Arabidopsis thaliana: one gene and its partners. The protein of the gene in region 3 interacts with the protein of the main gene of each other region in a pairwise test. Each region holds a gene or a part of one and is shown on either strand. Other genes may lie near its edges. The genes, in order: RSL2, SEP2, AT1G68240 and RSL1.

What was found.
Region 1: the proteins of AT1G68240 (region 3) and RSL2 interact in a two-hybrid assay, tested with the Arabidopsis thaliana proteins (one large-scale study listed by BioGRID).
Region 2: the proteins of AT1G68240 (region 3) and SEP2 interact in a two-hybrid assay, tested with the Arabidopsis thaliana proteins (one large-scale study listed by BioGRID).
Region 4: the proteins of AT1G68240 (region 3) and RSL1 interact in a two-hybrid assay, tested with the Arabidopsis thaliana proteins (one large-scale study listed by BioGRID).

What each region holds. Positions count from the first base shown.
Region 1 is NC_003075.7:16,238,853-16,243,169, forward strand, and holds RSL2 (ROOT HAIR DEFECTIVE 6-LIKE 2), read right to left. Parts: upstream 2,318-4,317; 5' UTR 2,201-2,317; coding exon 1,661-2,200; intron 1,568-1,660; coding exon 1,262-1,567; intron 1,154-1,261; coding exon 1,088-1,153; intron 957-1,087; coding exon 891-956; intron 795-890; coding exon 714-794; 3' UTR 511-713; downstream 1-510. UniProt on the Arabidopsis thaliana protein: Transcription factor involved in the regulation of root hair elongation. Does not seem to be a direct transcriptional target of RHD6 and RSL1. Involved in the regulation of root hair elongation in response to low phosphate.
Region 2 is NC_003074.8:463,731-468,734, forward strand, and holds SEP2 (K-box region and MADS-box transcription factor family protein), read right to left. Parts: upstream 3,422-5,004; 5' UTR 2,958-3,421; coding exon 2,773-2,957; intron 2,174-2,772; coding exon 2,092-2,173; intron 1,951-2,091; coding exon 1,889-1,950; intron 1,785-1,888; coding exon 1,685-1,784; intron 1,560-1,684; coding exon 1,476-1,559; intron 1,331-1,475; coding exon of another isoform or gene 1,300-1,330; coding exon 1,154-1,299; intron 918-1,153; coding exon 824-917; 3' UTR 549-823; downstream 1-548. Other genes in the region: AT3G02300 (Regulator of chromosome condensation (RCC1) family protein), read left to right, coding at 1-39, 151-199. UniProt on the Arabidopsis thaliana protein: Probable transcription factor. Functions with SEPALLATA1/AGL2 and SEPALLATA3/AGL9 to ensure proper development of petals, stamens and carpels and to prevent the indeterminate growth of the flower meristem.
Region 3 is NC_003070.9:25,574,277-25,578,113, forward strand, and holds AT1G68240 (basic helix-loop-helix (bHLH) DNA-binding superfamily protein), read right to left. Parts: upstream 1,854-3,837; 5' UTR 1,791-1,853; coding exon 1,560-1,790; intron 1,483-1,559; coding exon 1,414-1,482; intron 1,317-1,413; coding exon 1,251-1,316; intron 1,163-1,250; coding exon 1,010-1,162; coding exon of another isoform or gene 1,004-1,009; exon of another isoform or gene 942-1,003; coding exon 903-941; 3' UTR 588-902; downstream 1-587. Other genes in the region: AT1G68238 (uncharacterized protein), read left to right, coding at 205-402. UniProt on the Arabidopsis thaliana protein: Transcription factor involved in somatic embryogenesis. Acts as a positive regulator of somatic embryo formation. Acts as a positive regulator of ECP63 by targeting its promoter and inducing its expression.
Region 4 is NC_003076.8:15,034,285-15,038,447, reverse strand, and holds RSL1 (RHD SIX-LIKE 1), read right to left. Parts: upstream 2,383-4,163; 5' UTR 2,252-2,382; coding exon 1,706-2,251; intron 1,613-1,705; coding exon 1,508-1,612; intron 1,377-1,507; coding exon 1,311-1,376; intron 1,190-1,310; coding exon 1,124-1,189; intron 1,015-1,123; coding exon 874-1,014; 3' UTR 564-873; downstream 1-563. UniProt on the Arabidopsis thaliana protein: Transcription factor that is specifically required for the development of root hairs. Acts with RHD6 to positively regulate root hair development. Acts downstream of genes that regulate epidermal pattern formation, such as GL2.

The DNA of each region.
Region 1 (4,317 bases), on a different chromosome or scaffold from region 3:
TGAGTGCATTGATTAATTGATGAGCATTTGTTTTTCGCATCACAACTAATTTTGTAAAATAGGGTTTTACTCCTAGTGAAAAAGGATTTTCTTTGGAATGAACTTACCATTTTAATTAAGCCTAAAAAAAATGAAAACAAATTCCGCCTAAATATTAAATATCACACACATTTCAACCAAAATGATGTACATTCACATTTCTTAAATAGAAGTTACTTTGTTAAGTTATTATTAGCACATTCACATTTTCAACTATTACCTCTTTTGTCAGACCTTTCTTCATTCGTTTGTCAGACCTCTTCATTTTTTATTTTTTATTTTAATATTATAATAATAACTCTCCATTCATTAGGTATTCTTCGAACGGTGATCAGATTAAAAATAATCATATATGTCCCTTGATCATTAAATAAAACGGTGATCAGATTGAGTGTAAACTGTTTAAGGTATAGATCTTATGATCCTGATAAGTATTAAAACTATCGATTGAACAGATGAAACATAAGAATTGAAATGTAAATATGTGATATAAAAGAAAATGAAAGTATAAAAAAAATCGAACGTGACTCTCCATTTCTCTCATATTTGAACATCGTACGAGAATTTATAATCGAACTCGTCCGAAGGCGGAGAATATTAAAAAAGAAAAAGAATATTACATTTTTGGTTATATATAAGAGAAAATATCCAACTAAAATCACAAGTTTTCTGCTTCATCTCGGTGAGCTGAGACCAATGTCCATCCCATTGAAAGCAATCGGCGCATACATCCATAGATCATCAGAGCTCAATAACTGCGTAATTATATTTTAAAATATTAGTTAGATCATATTCATATAACAATTGAACGTACAAAAAAAAAACGATTTGTATTTAAAACCCTTGCTTACCTTAATTTGGAGCTGCAAAAATTTGACGTAATGAACTGCTTCCTCAAGCATTGTACTAATATCGACCTGTTACGTATTTAAGCAATTGTAAATGTTTAGAATCTTTATTAACAATTTCTTGTATAATTAATGAATTTGCATGTAAAAGAGCCATATCTTCTGCATGTTTAAACGTTTGCATGAGTTTTTTTTTTTACCTTTGTTCCATTGGGGACGAGATTTTGTAAAATCCTTAGTCTCTCGTTAATCCTTTCTCTTCTTTTCTGCACGACAAAAAAATAATAAAAAACCAAATTAATTTTTTGAAACATAATCTTCCATAAAAATTTGATATTTTATCTTTTTTGTGGGAAACAAACAAAGCAATTTACCCTTGCATAGAGGCTTTGAGGATCGGTGGCTGCACCACGACTGGCTCTTGTTTTACCATTGAGGTTGAGGGCCTTTGAGGGATCATCTTCCTTAGAGGATGAGTCTTCTCCTCCACCGTCTTGATCAGCGCAGTTTGATTCTTCCTCCGTACAGAAAGTGGTGCTTGAGTTCTGTCTACTCATCATTGCCCCATTCTTTCTTTTCTTCAACTTCGTCTCTCCTTCTTCCTCTTCTCCTTCATTGTTATCCCCACTCATCTCTACGTTCTTCTGGGCCCTCTTATTCACTCTTGCTCTCTTGTTTTTCTGAGTCCATGGCAAACCGTTTCTATATTAGTCACTAAACCAAATGTGATCTCTCTAGCTAATTGCCAACCAGTTCGAAAATTAAAGACTTACATCAGTAGATGTGGCACGGGATCTCTTTTTGGAGCCGGTGAGAGATTTTGTAGTAGTCACAGAGATCTCAGATTGCAACAAGCTTTCCTCGTCATCGTGGTTCTCCACTACGGTTTCCAAAGGCATAAGAGTCTTTCCAGAAGAGTATTTCTCAACGTCACACTCACTTGTCTCCTCACCAACAAGGTATGAGTTTGTATTGATGGTCACATCTTCCATCCCAAAGTCCATTGTCTCATTTTGGTTCTCTTCAACCGTGGGTGGAACAACGGTGTAATATCCGCTGTTCCCAGCGCTGTAGCTGCTGCTCTCTTGAGAGAAACAGAAGCTACCGGCTTCAGACACGAGGCTAAGGTGGTTGTGATGAGAACCAAGGTTCCAATACAAGCCTTGGTGGTCACCACTGGCTGCTGCGCCGGAGGATGAGCCGGTGCCAGGATGATCATAAGAGGCGAGAAGCTGGTTCATGAAATCGGCTTCCTCGGTTGCATAAGTGTACATTCCTCCGAGGTTGTTGCTCCATTCTCCCATGGCTTCCATTTTTATATGTTTTGTTAACTAAGCGTCTTAATTAAGAGATTAATCTTAATTAAGAAGATTGTTAGTTGGAAGTCTTGTGAGAAGTGAGGGAATGAGGAAGAGGAGTTGGAATGTATATATAGAGAACATGAGAGATAGTGGATAAATAAATGTCAACACATAATGACACTAGTTAATCATCTTTCTAATTAATTTGTAAATAACCAAGTCTGGGATACCATTAGATATGGACAGCTAATTATGGTGGGCTCTCTGCAACTTGGTCATCGAACATTAAGTTTAATATATATTTGTCGTTTGTCGTTTATGATTCTGCATTTCTGCTTGTTAATGGCTTCACTTATATATGTTAAATACATCGTTTTAAGTTAAAAACAAGATTATAGTTGGTTGATATACTAGTTCATATGAGAAATGATTGTGGTGGCCGTATTCACTGCATATTTAGGATCAAAATTGGAAGAGCTCTTAGCTTAGCTCATTATAATTTTATCGACTTCCATGTTTCGTTAGCATCCGAGTAATAAGAGATAAACAGATTTCTTAGCAAAAGTGTTTTTTGCAAACTCACTCGATGAAATAGTAGATGTGTTAAAAACTCATGAACGTATAGTTTATATTAATGAGTTTTTTTGCACACAACTATGATTCAAATTCTTGGGAACACTGAACTTACGGTTAGACCCCATAAACTGCTTTCTAATTGCGCCAATCCGTTGAGATCGCGAGTTTTGATGTTGAGTATCGAGTAAATACAATTCACAAGTGTTGATCCACCTTAAAAAAAACTTCATATCATAACGTCATATGATACCTATGATATGAATGTTTTTCCCCTAATGACATGTAGTTAGGTCCCCATATAGTTCAACCTGCCATGATATAAGCAAGACTTATTTTTATTTTAATAGTAAAAAAAAAAATTCTCCAATATTCTACATATAGTAAGAATATTCCTATATATTGATTAGCTATAAGTGTATTATAATTTATAGCTTAAACTAAAATTCTGCATAATTATACAACGCATTAAAGTATTAAGCATTTTTTACTTTACAAAGTAACAAACAATCGAGAAACTATTGGGTCTGAGTAGAAAGAATGATATTTTCCCACTCACCCGCTGACTAGAAAAAAAAATCAAAACTTATCCAAAATCCTTACAAATTTCAAATATATTATATTTAGATAGAAGCATATCCATATGCTATACGACTTCTAAAGAGAAATTATCTAACTAGAATACTGAATACCTATACAACACAAACACAAAGATATAGATTTATGTACATTGTCTCTTTCTACTTTTACATTTTTTTTCAATTTCTATATTTGTTGTCAGCTGTGTTTTTTTTCGAATATGCACTGACTAGATTTATGTGCTAATGTGATTAAAATAGATTACAAAATGATGCATACTCTATGGACCTAGACGGCTAGACATATTTCTCGTCTATTCGATGATTAAATCATGTAAAAATCTAACCTTGAACCAATCAATAACGGATTAAAGAGGTACGACGACTTACGAGAGAAAATTATTGCGTTTGTCAGTTTGTGTATTATGACAATACTTGGATTATCCTAATTTTTAGTTGTAATTATTATATCAAAACCGAAATAAACTAAGGAATGGAATATTTCGACATTAAGCGTAATTCACTTTTAGGTCAAGTTGATGCGAAATTAGAAACAAATGACAAATCAAGCCTATACTTTGAAAAACGCCAACTTGTAGTGACCCAAAAACCGGCCGGTTTTTTCCCATCTATTTTGTGATTTGAAGTTTTAATCTACATATATTGTTTAAATTTATTATTATTTTCTTTTGATATTGTGTTTTTGATGAAACATTTAAAAATTAACCATCTAATTTACGAAACTAAGAACACAAAAGCTCTTCCTCTAACGCCCTTGACAACTTAGTAGTTATTTTATATTAAAATAAGAATCGCGAAGTCTTTGGTTGCTTAAGTTGTCAAGTTCCATGGATAAAATAACTGTGTAGCAGAAAATAAAGAGTTCATGAGAATGAAAGAGAGAGAGAAAGGGATGTGAAATGGGAGAATCAGAGACCTGGTTGTTGAACGTGACAGTTTCTGCATCATATTAATGTT
Region 2 (5,004 bases), on a different chromosome or scaffold from region 3:
GGGATCCGAAGCTTTAGCCCGCCTCTGCGAAAGACTGAGGTAAGCAAAGTTGAAGTTCTTGGACAAACTTCTTCATTACCCCTTAAACTTTGAAACTTAGAAAGAATCCAAGTCAAGTAAAGCTAAACAATGCGACTTGATGTGTTTCAGGGAGCAGTTACTTGATGGGGACTTTACTAATGGGGAAGAAGTATATTAAAAAGCACAATCCCCAAACTCCGAAACAATTTAGTATTGTTGGAAGTTATTACAATTGGTCCTATATTATTGAGAAATTGAAGAATGTAGCAAACCAGAAATTACATTCTTCAGCAGAACTCTCTGTATCATTTAACTTTTCAGGACAGATTTCATTACTTGTCCTGCCTCTGTAAGATCCAGATATTGTAATTATATGTTCTGTACACTAGAATCGAAAATAAAAGCTACATCTTGGTGGCATTGTGATCTGTTGAATGTCACTGTTAACTTGAGAGTTTATATGCCTTTGTCACAAGCTGTGTTTGCGATTGCGGTTAGCATCTAACCACGTCTTTTTGTATCATGCATAGACAGGATAAGTACTTCACCAGATGAGACATGGTCGATGTTAACATTTCACACATTATACAAACCATACATATATAAGCAATTACAATAGGCACAAACAAATCCTGAAACAGAAGAGAGATGTTGAAGGCTATTACAGCTATAGCCACTTGTGTCTACAAAAGCAAAAGTCTTGTGCAATAACATTATTATTCATATGCATAAGATCTAAGATCACACCACGAAGACCCCACCAGTACTTGCTTAAGATCTTTATTGGGGGAAGAAGTATCGCTCACAGCATCCAGCCAGGGATGTAGCCGTTTCCTTGTTGGGACTGACCTTGCACCGTCACAGCCATTTGCTCTGAGCACACTGGATGGCTATATCTGTTTGCAACACCACAACAACATAGTTTCGAAGTCAACAATAGAAACCCACATTTTCAAGTCTGAGATATTGATTTTCCATACTTCAGACATCAAAGTGCTGAATCCTTAGACTAAACAACACGAGTTTTAACCAAAGCCTCTATGAAACAAAGACAATGTTGGGCTTAAAGCAAACTGCTAACTGTTTATAACCTAAGTTGATGTCTTAAGGCAAGAAAAGTTGTTTGATTTACCCAATTTGCAAAGTGGGATCACATTCAAGAGATTGGTATAGTCCCTGAGAATGAGCCTGAGGATGTCCATAGGCAATATTCTGTTGATCACCACCTTCCCATCCTCCTCCTATATGGTGATGTCTCACGCCGATCATATCTTCCAGCTAAACAAAACACAATATTTTTCAAACTTTCCTGAAGATATCATAGAAATAATACAAAAGAAACATGTAGCAGTTGAAGAATGTGAAATTTAGACTCATATATATAAATTGGACTATTTAAAGTTTCCATCTATAAATAGAAACTGGAGGAGAGAGAGAGAAACATCATCATATACCTTCATTGACAAAGCTCTGTTGGCATCAAGCAAGATATGCTCCTTACCTTGAAGATCAGAGAGCTGGTCAAGCATATACTGTGTCTGCAAAAAAGAAGAGGCATTTTCAGATAACCTCACGCATCAAAAACATTTCATGCATGTGTCTCAGTCTATATATAGAGAAAGATTTGTGTGAATCTTTCAGTGTATGTACAGAAGTAAATCACCTTGATGCAGCGAACTTGCTTCAGAGAGCCGTCTAGTTGACGCTCAAGCTGCTCTAGCTCCTTTGAATTCAGAGGTCCAAGATCCTCTCCAAGAAGATTTCTGCAGCAACACACTTTCATGATCAATACAAACTATATATATATATATATATATATATATATATGCTGTTTATAAATGATCATCATCCACATTAATGTATATACCTCTGCTGACGTTGCAGATTTTCATATCTACCTTTCAGCTTCAAGTACTCTCTGTAGCTGTTCTGAAAATTGCGAAGATAATAGACAATTGAATATCTATGTAAGAAACTTTGAAGGGCTTTTGTCTCAAAATCAAACATTTTCTTTAGATAAAATTAAAAAAGGATAAATAATTAAGATCGAAGAGATGTTGGAGATTAAACCTCAAGCTCTTTAGCAGGTTTGTTGTTGACTTCAATGGAGCCATAGCTACACTTCTGATACCTTTCCAGTGTCTTGAGCATGCTGAAAGATCAAAAAACACAAATCAGGAGAAGAAGAATCTATAAATTTAATGAACAAACTAAAATTTTAAAAACTAACAAAAGAAAATTTATAAAAAGAAGATCCCTTAATTAAAAAGATATTAAATTCATGTGGTGCTTAAATGTCTGCATGAGCTTTAATTAGACTGGTTAATGCATGGAACCACTAATTATTCTACGTTGGATCTTTTAAATTTCATTGAAGACTGTGAATCTTTAGTTTACTTTACCAAGTTCTAATCACATATATATCCGTGTAGAGACAATGAAATTACATGATAATAATAGTATATCATTATGATACTTTCCTAGCTCCGATAAATCTAAAAATAGATTGCAATTAAATCCCTAAGAATTTGACATGATGATTAAATTAAGATCAGATCTCGAAATTCAATCACTTGAAAGTACTGAATTATTCTTCTATAATCAAAACCTAATTAGAGATCAGATTAAGAAACTGAAAATATATCAAGTATTTTGTTAAAAAGCAATCAAGAAAGATAAAACTCATCACAAGACTAGAAAAATGAAAGATCTACACACAGATCTAATAAGTGTATAAAGAAAGAGAAGTACTTGGAGGTGCTGCAGAACTCGTAGAGCTTGCCACGGTTGGAGAAGACGATGAGAGAGACTTCAGCATCGCAGAGAACAGAAAGCTCATAAGCTTTTTTCAGCAAACCATTTCTACGTTTAGCAAACGTCACTTGTCTGTTGATTTTGTTCTCTATCCTCTTGAGCTCTACTCTTCCTCTTCCCATCTTTCCTCACCCCAAAAAATCCCTATCTTATTTTCCCTCTTTTATAGCTATTTGTGTAACCTTATTAGGGTATGTAATGTTTTATCTATATACAGACACACAGAAACATGACTTGGGTATTGCTTTTTCTGGGGAAAGATCTTATCTTTTGGTGAAGTAAACCCTAGTTTTCAAGAACAAGAAAAGAAGAGGAATAGCTAGAGAGAAAACTTTAATTAGCTTTCTTTGGTTTTTTTGGTTGTGATTTGATATTAGGGCTCTTGTTTATTCTTTAGATCTTTTCTCTTTTTGAAGGGTTGTGATGAGATTGTGAATCTGAAGAAAAGTTTTTGTGAATCTATAAAAGCTATAAAGATAAGAAAATTTGTGAGGGTGAGAGATCATTAGGGTTTGGTGATACAATATCTCTCTCTCTACTTCTTTACTCTTTCTCTCTCTTCCATCTTTTACACAGAAAGTAAAAAACATTCTCACACCTTCTCTCCCAAGTGCGTGCCACGCAGACACCATTATTTGCCATGAGTAGTTAGTTGCTAGTTGCTACTAATTAAGAAAAATGAATTAAGTTTTTAAAACAAACGTTGTCTAGTTATATAATCCATGTCCATATACATCTAGATATATGACTTAGATACCAATGTTTCGACTCTTTTAGGTCTACACGTACGTTGCCCAAACTTCATATTTGAGACATCTTTATTTATTTGTCAACAGAAATATTGAAACATGCATGGATCTTGATATTCTAAAGGTGCCTGAATTAAAATAGAACGATAACGTTTTAAAACCTAATTCCCAATTTGTAGTTTATATATTTCTTGTTTGATCCATATTATTACAAGCCTATATATAGTGTATATAAAACTCAATTAAGCTTCAAAAAGTCAGAAAACTCATCAATAGCTCAAGTTCCACTAATTAATGCCCGAATTTAAAGTTCATCTCTATAGTTTAAAATTTGTTCGTAGCTAGATTTTGCATCTTGGAGTGGTTAGTTATGTTTATTAGACACTTGGAATGCTTTTGAATGTACAATGTCCGGAAAAAAAAACTAATACTGAAAAGGGGATTTGTCCAAGTGGTGGTAGATAGGAGGAGGCGCGTGAGATTGGGGAAACATTGGTTTCTTCTGCAATGAATGAAACGAAAGCAGCTATCATCATTTTCTTTTTCTTACTTCACAAGCCGCAGAAAAGCCTCTCCTACCTTAAAATGGACATGTACGTGTCGCTTTTCTATTGCTTCCTATCTATTCGACAACATTGAAGTTTTGTTCTATTACTTTCGTATTCAATTTTTAATTTTTGTTTGAGAATACCAATTTTGTTTTGGATCTAAACTCGTTCTAATGTAAAAAATAATAATCAGCCGCAGTATATCAATATGTTACATTGTATCTGGACGTGGGATATCTGACCATGTCTCCATGAATCCATGATGATTGACAGATTTATAGGGATAAGTATCCTGGTTTAGGTAATCCATAAGTATTTATGAATATTATGAAAATAAATTTTGATCAGAAAGATTAATTAGTTAAGACTATGATGTAGGGTATTTTAAAATATTGCTAAAAATTTTGCGCGCTTTCAGTATGTATATTTATTTTACTAGTTTTCGGTTGATATATGATTTCTTGAAGTAATTAAGGTTATTAGCTAAATGGAAGAGAACGTGAGGAATATAACACATATGTGATCACATACGAATATATGTAGGTTTAACTTAATTGGTTCGTTGATTATTCTTTATAAAAGTGAAAGTAGATTTAAATTTGTTTTCCAATCTTCTATGTTTGGCCATTGTTTGCAAGAGTTTTGGGAATTAAAGTCTTTTTAGGTGAGACCAAGAAGGGTAAAATATGAGTTTTTGGGTCTAGAATTTATAAGTTAAATAGTTTATTCTCATTTCTAATTATTGTTGACCAAAAAAAAAAAAAACTGTTTGGTTTTGAGGTTTAATTACTTATTGTATATGTACACTCTCAATCATAATGTTTTGGATATACTGTATAGTAAATTTTTAATCAATCGTGTTTATTAGTATA
Region 3 (3,837 bases):
AATTGGTTAACTACTAGCTTGTGATCCACTGACCCTAGAGTTAAACCAAAGGGCAGTATATATAAGAAAGAGTCGTCGCATCTTTTTTTTGGTGACTTCTGACTCGAAAACGCAAAACCACACATTTGAAAATATGCCAATTACAACTCTCTTTATCAACTAGTCTCAACAATTGTCACAAAGCGATGCACAAAAACTCTTTCAATGGTGAGAGGAGAACTCGCGGTAATAGCGGCGGGTAATGGTGAAGTCTCACTCTACATTTGGGCAGCTGTTGTGGCTTTCTCCGTCATAGCAGCCGTGATTTTCTCATGCAGTGACCGAGCTTCTAAACCTCACACTAACGACGATGTCAATGGATCCAGTTGCGCCGCTGGCTGCGGTGGTGGTTGTGGAGGTTAAACGGGAAGCATTTTTTGTTTACTTTAGTAACATTTAAAGATAAAACTATTTTGGCTTCTTGCTTTAATAAAAAAAGTTAAAGTGTGTAGATAATTTGTAGCCAATGAATGTATTCTGCTTCTTGAATTTAACATTTTAGTGATCTAGTTCGTTTTCTATGATTCAAGATAAAAATTATCAAACTAGGGTTGTAGTAATGTTTGGTACAAACGTACTATTACACGTAACATAACATCTTTGTTGTTTATTTAACTTACATTCAACAAAGAAAAAGGTTGAGCAAAACAGAACATAAATAACAGAGGAACAATGCTCAACCAAAACAGAACATAAAAAACAGGTGTTTTTACATATTGTGGCATCAAACTAAAAGTTATACATAAAACTACGTATGTATTTATGTATCTATGTACATATCTTAGTTTACAAAGACAGTCTATATAAACAGCAACGAGTCTAAAGCCGGAGGGTCTTAAAAAGCCACATAGCTAGAGCTTGTTTTAAGGTTGAGTTTGATTTGGCGGCACTGTTCCATATACCTGTGATAAAAGATTGATGGCAGAAATCAGAATCTGTGGAATCAGATTAAACTTTAATTTGATCAAACCTGAGGATATTGCGGGATATAGGTCATGTTTTGCTGAGGCATCATTGGAACTCCTGGCGTATAATAGCCCCAAGGAGACATACATGGTGCTTGAGCTGCTGCATAAAATGGTGGTGTGTAAACCGGAGTTGTTGTGTATGCCATTGACATAACCTGGACCACATCCACATAACACATAAGAACATATATACTCTAATGGATACAAGTAACTAAATTAAATTAGATATAGTTTAATGCTTACATCTACTTGATATTTCAAACTTTTAATGTATTCAATGATGTTTTCAAGCTTCGATGCAAGGTCCGGCTGTAGATAAACACACAAGAAACTCGATATTCGAAACTTGATATTGTATTAGACTCTAATATATAAAAAATATGGAGTAAATTAAGTAATAGTTAACCTTTGTGCAATGATTAGGCATCAACCCCTGCAAAATATCTACTTTATCTTTGATCTCCTTTCGTCTTTTCTACAAAGTTTAGAAAGCAAAAATATAAATTAGCTAGGGAATCACGTAAGAGAAGAAGGAGATTAAGTCATCTTCACCTTCTCCATCATCATACGATATTCCATGGAACGTTGCCGTTTAGCCATACGGTAACTTTCCTCGTCTGGCTCCTCGTCGTGTTTCTCATGATCATTGTTTTTGGTAACACCGAATATCTCTTGCAAAGGGTTTAATTCACTATGATTTTCTGAACAAAACGAATAAATAATATCAGAAAGCGAACATTGCTCTTCTTCGTGAGTCCCCTCGTTGCGGTTGTTTCTCTCCATTGATGATTGACTAAATTGAGGATTTTGAGTTTGTTAAAGAGTGAAAAGTGGAGGGTTAAGGATAAACTAGTTAGTTCAGCCATAAGCTATATATATATAGGGGAGATACAAGAAGCTTCTTTTGAAAGTTCCAACAATTGAGCGGGAAGCAAAGAAGATGATTTTGCTTCGTCCCATGGTTTTCTCTAACAATTTATTTACTCATTTTCCATTATATTATTATATTTATGTGTTCCACATTTACGCACATCCATTAGACAGAAGAAAACATATATTTTTGTTGTTTTCTTATATTTGCTTTCTTGCTCTTTCTTGAAATTCTAAGAACGGCAGGGGAATAGTGTCATTCTTGTTCATGAACGGCAGTTCTTAATCTTTAGTATTTTATTTTTCTTCTCAAGCTAGCTATGGATACAACAAATTGCATTAAAATTGGAAAAACATTATCTAGTTGGAAAAGAGAACTGTAAAACTCCTATTACAAGTTCGAACAAAAATGACATATTTCAATATTTAAGAATTATTTATTTTGATTGAGAACAAGATAAACTTTCTATTATATCAACAACATGCATGGACATGTCCATGCAAGGGCAAGAAAATGTTTCTAGTCAGAAATTTGTTTTGACCGGCTTGTAACACTGTGCAAGCTAGCTTCTGATGTGATATTTAGAACGTACGTTTGCATATATTTATCGAGTTACGTGTCTCTTCAATACTCATACATATTTTAAGGAGTCATGCACCAAAATCTTTCATATAAACATGTGCTGATCAGAGATCTTGAACTCTCTATCGAATAGCTTCGCCATCGACCCAAATACATAAGACCGTCGTCTGATTACTTCATTGAGACGGGACGTTTTTTATAGCTAGATGTACTATTTTAATTTGGGTTATTTGTGGATACATGCACACTCTCGTTACTTCTCCTTCTTAAATAAACCTCAACCATTTCATTTTTTTCTCTCAACCATTTCATTTTTTTCTCTCAACCATTTCTTCAATATCTCGTATATATTATTTGAACAATTGGAGACAGATAGAAAAAAAAAACGGACAAGCAAAACATATTTGGTTAACCTGCCATCATATGAGCGATTTGAAAGAAAAATAATATAAAATTTCGATTGCCAAGTTTAAAACTAACATTTAATTATGAATGTTTTGGGTGCAACAATGAATATATTTTTTACACTAACATCATTATAGTAACAAATATATTTAATGTTGTAAATAGATATTTGCAATATCATTCAATTTAGTTATAAAAAAAATCATTCAATTAAATTAATTTCTTAAGTTAGTTTTTGTTAAACAATTGAATCTATAACATCATTAACTATTTGTTTTGCTCAAAGATTGAAAATAAAAACAGAAAAAAAAAATGAATTTAAGATTCTCTACAGGCCCAAACCGCGGATCAAATATCTAATATTTAAATATTTATGAAAATATTTCATTTTTAAATCTTTCTTACAAATTATAAACGTTAACGAAAAAACAAAAAAACGTTAACGAGATATGTAAGTTAAAAAAAATCACTTATATATGTTTATCATTTTAGCTACAAAGTTTTTTTTCTTTAAAACAATATTAATATAGTTTTTTTGCCAAAATAATAATATTTATATTATTTATTTTATTTTAGATATAATATAATATATTTCAACACATTTTTTGTTTATGTTCGGAACAATCCTTAGTTTCACAATATAGCTAGATTCTTCTTGGTGATTAATGTGAATTAATATATGATGTTGCGCACTAGAACTAAACACGAAAACATTGCATTTAAACAACCAAAATACTATAAGTTGTTTACGATAAACAATGTAAAACGTTACAACGTTACAGTATACTATACAACAGTGCGAAAACGTACAACAAAGAGCAAGCCACATAGTACTCCTAGTTTCAAATACAACTTGGGAGACCAACTCCTTTACATTAAACAACAAACCATATTATTAAAGAACTTGAGAGAACCGGTCTTTAATACTAAAACATGAACTGGTCTTATATACTACAGCATCTTGTAGTTTAC
Region 4 (4,163 bases), on a different chromosome or scaffold from region 3:
GTACAAAAATAGAACTATACCTCTAGGGTATACCCCTTGGTTAGGTACATATATAACATTCAAAACATACTTCGGCAAGGATACATCATACATATATACTATGTAACATTACTATTATTAGTTTATTTTTAACGAACAAAAGTGCAGAAATGGACGTAAGCTAAACAGTCACAACTGAAAAAATAAATTTAAAAGGGTTTTAAGGAGGATTTAAGTTTTAATTTCTAATGAAATAGTTGATTTTTTCGTTGCCTTACTGCATCGTATGTAGAAATATAGACATTCATAATAAATATTTTTTGTCTTTTAATTACTAAGAGGTTCGGATCTAGGTCTGTTTCTCGGGTAGGAAACCATAACATTTAATATAGTTTCCCCTTAAATGTTATTCGTATCAGTGACTTCTAAACTTTGCATAGATGTATTATCGATTAAGCTATTAACACTTAATTACATGCATAATATCTCAAAACTTAACAACACTTAGTTCAATTCATGAAAACATTTTATAAAAGATATCTTAAAGTAAAACTCAGAAACCAAACTTTTGCAACATCACATTACGCATACTTGGAGAATTACAAAACATACAAAAATAGAAACATACCTCCACATATATAACTATTACATATCTAATCTACTATAAGATTCCATGCTCGTGTGGACCGACGTCTGACATATCGTCGGTGACTTCAATGTGTTGGCTCTTACATAATTAAAGCCTTAAAGGAATCAATAACTTCTCGATCTGTAACGTCACCAATTAACTATTTTTTAAACCGAATTCAAAAGTGATGACTTGTTTGGTATTATAATTAATGCCGATACATTTAGTAACTAATTATTCTGCTATACTTTTTGTTTTGGTCGGAATTATTCTGCTATACTTGTTTCTCTAGTTGAGTTACTATCTCGTTGTGATGATGAGAGGATTGCGTCAATAGCTTCTTTAACTTGAGAAATGTCCGGAGCTTTCCCTCCTTGTGCCGGCCAAAACTCATCGGCTGCAAGTACCTATAAAAAGACATAGTTTTTTTGTTTATATCAATATACTTGAAAGACCCTACTTATATATGACATAGTATGATATATAGTTGACGGAATGTTTGTTAAGATTAATTACCTTAACTTGTACTTGAAGAAACTTTACATAGCCAATTGCTTTCTCAAGCATAGTTACCAAATCCACCTACATAAAAACCACCATAAAGATTTTAAAAAAAAAAATTAGTACAGAAAAATATTTATTACGCTCTAGGTTTGAAAAAAAAGGTTACGATAAAATTAAATTTCTTATACATTTATCATACCTTGGTACCATTCGGTACAAGTTCTTGCAATACCTTGAGGCGTTCGCTTATCCTTTCTCTTCGGTTCTATACAAGAAACATATTTTCGTATTGGTTAATTTATTGACAAAAGCACATATATATTTCTTAATTTCCTTGACTTAAATCCAAAAAGAGAACCCTGACAATAAATGTTGATGAATAGAAAAAACGCAAACCTTGGCTGCTAGGCTTTGTGGATCTTTAGGTGAAGTTGTTGCCTTAGGCTTGATCTTTCCATTCGTACCGCTACTCGGCTTCTTTGAAAGTTGTGTGTTCTCTCCCTATCGATCATTAGATGGTAAACTTTAAACATCTTTGATTGATCTAAATGATATATGAAAAAGACAAATCACAAATCTTAAATTTATAGTTACCGTGAAAGGCCGTTTATTGCCAGCCAGTTTAGGGGACGTGGACTCGTGCCTTGAACCGATGTTTACAATAGTTGAACCAGAGTATAACCAGTCTCCATTTCCATGGTTTGTGGCCGGTTTACTCATGGAGTTTGAAGTCAATCCAAAACTGCTCGTTGTTTCAAAGCTATTTGGAGTTTTGATGACTCTAGGGCTAATACTATCCACTTGATGATGACTCCAGCCATCATAGCTGTAACTCATGTTCCCGTCCACGACCGGGAAGGCACCACCGTTGGTCACGGGAGAGATAAGGCTTCGGTGATTATCAAAGGTGAAGAATGATGAAGCATTGAAATCCATCAAAGAATTATGATCTTCAATGGTTTCCCCGGAAGGGTAAAACACAAACCCTTGATTATTTTGATGATCAGAATTTATGGTGCTACTGCTTGAAGCTGAAGCTCCTTCGTCTAATCCGCAATTCTGTGGTGAAGAGAGATCTTCTGAAGAATTTGGGGTTGAGATGTAATTACGCTCATTGCAATGTTCGTTAATGAGTGACATTGGTACTAAAGGGTGTTCTAGTGAGATGTATGGGGTTTCTTTTTTATGTCTTTGGTTTTGCTTTGAGAGGTTAAGGAGATTTGAGAAATCGAAACAACGAAAAATGGTTTTAAGATTGTAGATTGGTAAGCAAAGAGAGACAATGTTTGTGTAGTTATGTTATCATAAAGGTTTATATAGGCGGTTCTTACTAATATTAAATGATGACATTTAGATGTAGTTTTATTTTTGTTTGTTATAATATTTTAAGAGAGGAAGCTGGCATGAGATCAAAATAGATATTGCTCGAGTCTATTAATTTTATCAGTCGAAGTCATTATGAATGTAGAGAGATTTAATCAATACACATGCAAGTACACTTTTTATAATTTAAAAGTAATTTTTTAACTAGCAAATTTGATTACCGTTTTAGAATAACTCTTTAGTTTACAAAAACATTCAACTTATTTTTATTTAGGAAAATAATCACTCAGTTTTTGAAGTGAAACTGCAAAGAAATGAACACCTCTAATAAGTCACCTTAATTCTCACTTCGTATCCATCTTATGAAATTATGTCTTTTCTCTACCACCATATATGAAATTATATATCTCTTCCTCTCCAATAAATGAATTAGGATATATTTCAACAATATAACTAATAAGACATCCATATTATGCTACAAATTAATCTAGAGAATGTACCTCCAAGATCATTCATGAAATATATAAACTCATTTATTTCAACTGTAAATATCCTAGAGTAAGAAATTAGATTATGTTTGGTCTTACGGGTGGAAAACATTATAAGAAAGGTTAAACTGAAATCAAAATTTATTATTAAGCATAAGAAAATTTGCATACTTGATTCGTTTAGTTTTTATTCTTCTATTTTTGATGACTACAATCTCTTCATAATCAAATTTAACAGAAGACACACAACAAAATTGCAAACCGATTAGACAGACCAAAACAAACACATGTGGCAGATGTTGGAGTGATATGTCACTTATAAGAAGAAAGTTTGCTAACTTTCATATATATGATTTTTCTTACTCTTTGCTTTTAAAAAAAAATATTTGAACGATTATATTGTGTGTTTTTTTAATGTGAACAATTATATTATTTTCGTGAGAGCTTTAACAATATAGATAAGGTGAAACGCCATAATTTTAAATTTAAACAAAAACTAAACCCTAAATCAAAAATACTAAACCCAAACCCAAGTTTTCAAATCTTAAAGTCTTCATTTTTTTTAAATTGTTTTTTTGTGTTTTTGTGGTATTTTTGAAATTTTAGAGATGATATGCTAAATTTGGAAATATTTGTGAGAATTGCCCTAAAAATGGTTTCGGTTTAGTTAAGTTGAATCAATTCGGGGGTGTAGGGTTTGTTTAAATCTACATAAAGCTGTCCGATCATAAATTAGGATACCTTTGTTATTTAAAAAAAATATATACATCATAAGCATGGATACAATTTTTAAGAAAATCATTTGTAAAGTATTTTAAATATTAATGGATGCTGATGTATGGAAGCAATTAATGAATGTGGTTCCAAGTTTATTAATTACAAATTACAATAATAATACTATTAGCTAATATGATCTCTCATTGGGATTGTTAGCTGGCAGTAGTGAAATTAATGGACTGGGAGACTTTGTAAAACATAAATAAATGAGACCCCTAAATAAATCTACAAAGATAGAAAAATTAAAGAAATTTGAGCTTGAAATAACTAAAGAAGCAAAAGCATCGCCGTATCTTCCGCTAATCTTCACGTCGTTTTTATTCTCATTTTAGTGTATTCGATAAAGACTATATTTTTCCACTTCATTTTCTATTCTGAAGAAGAAACGAACTCAAATCTCGCAATCTTTTTTATTTGCTGTTTATTTAACAAAAAAAAAAAAAAAAAAAAAAAAAAATCTGAAG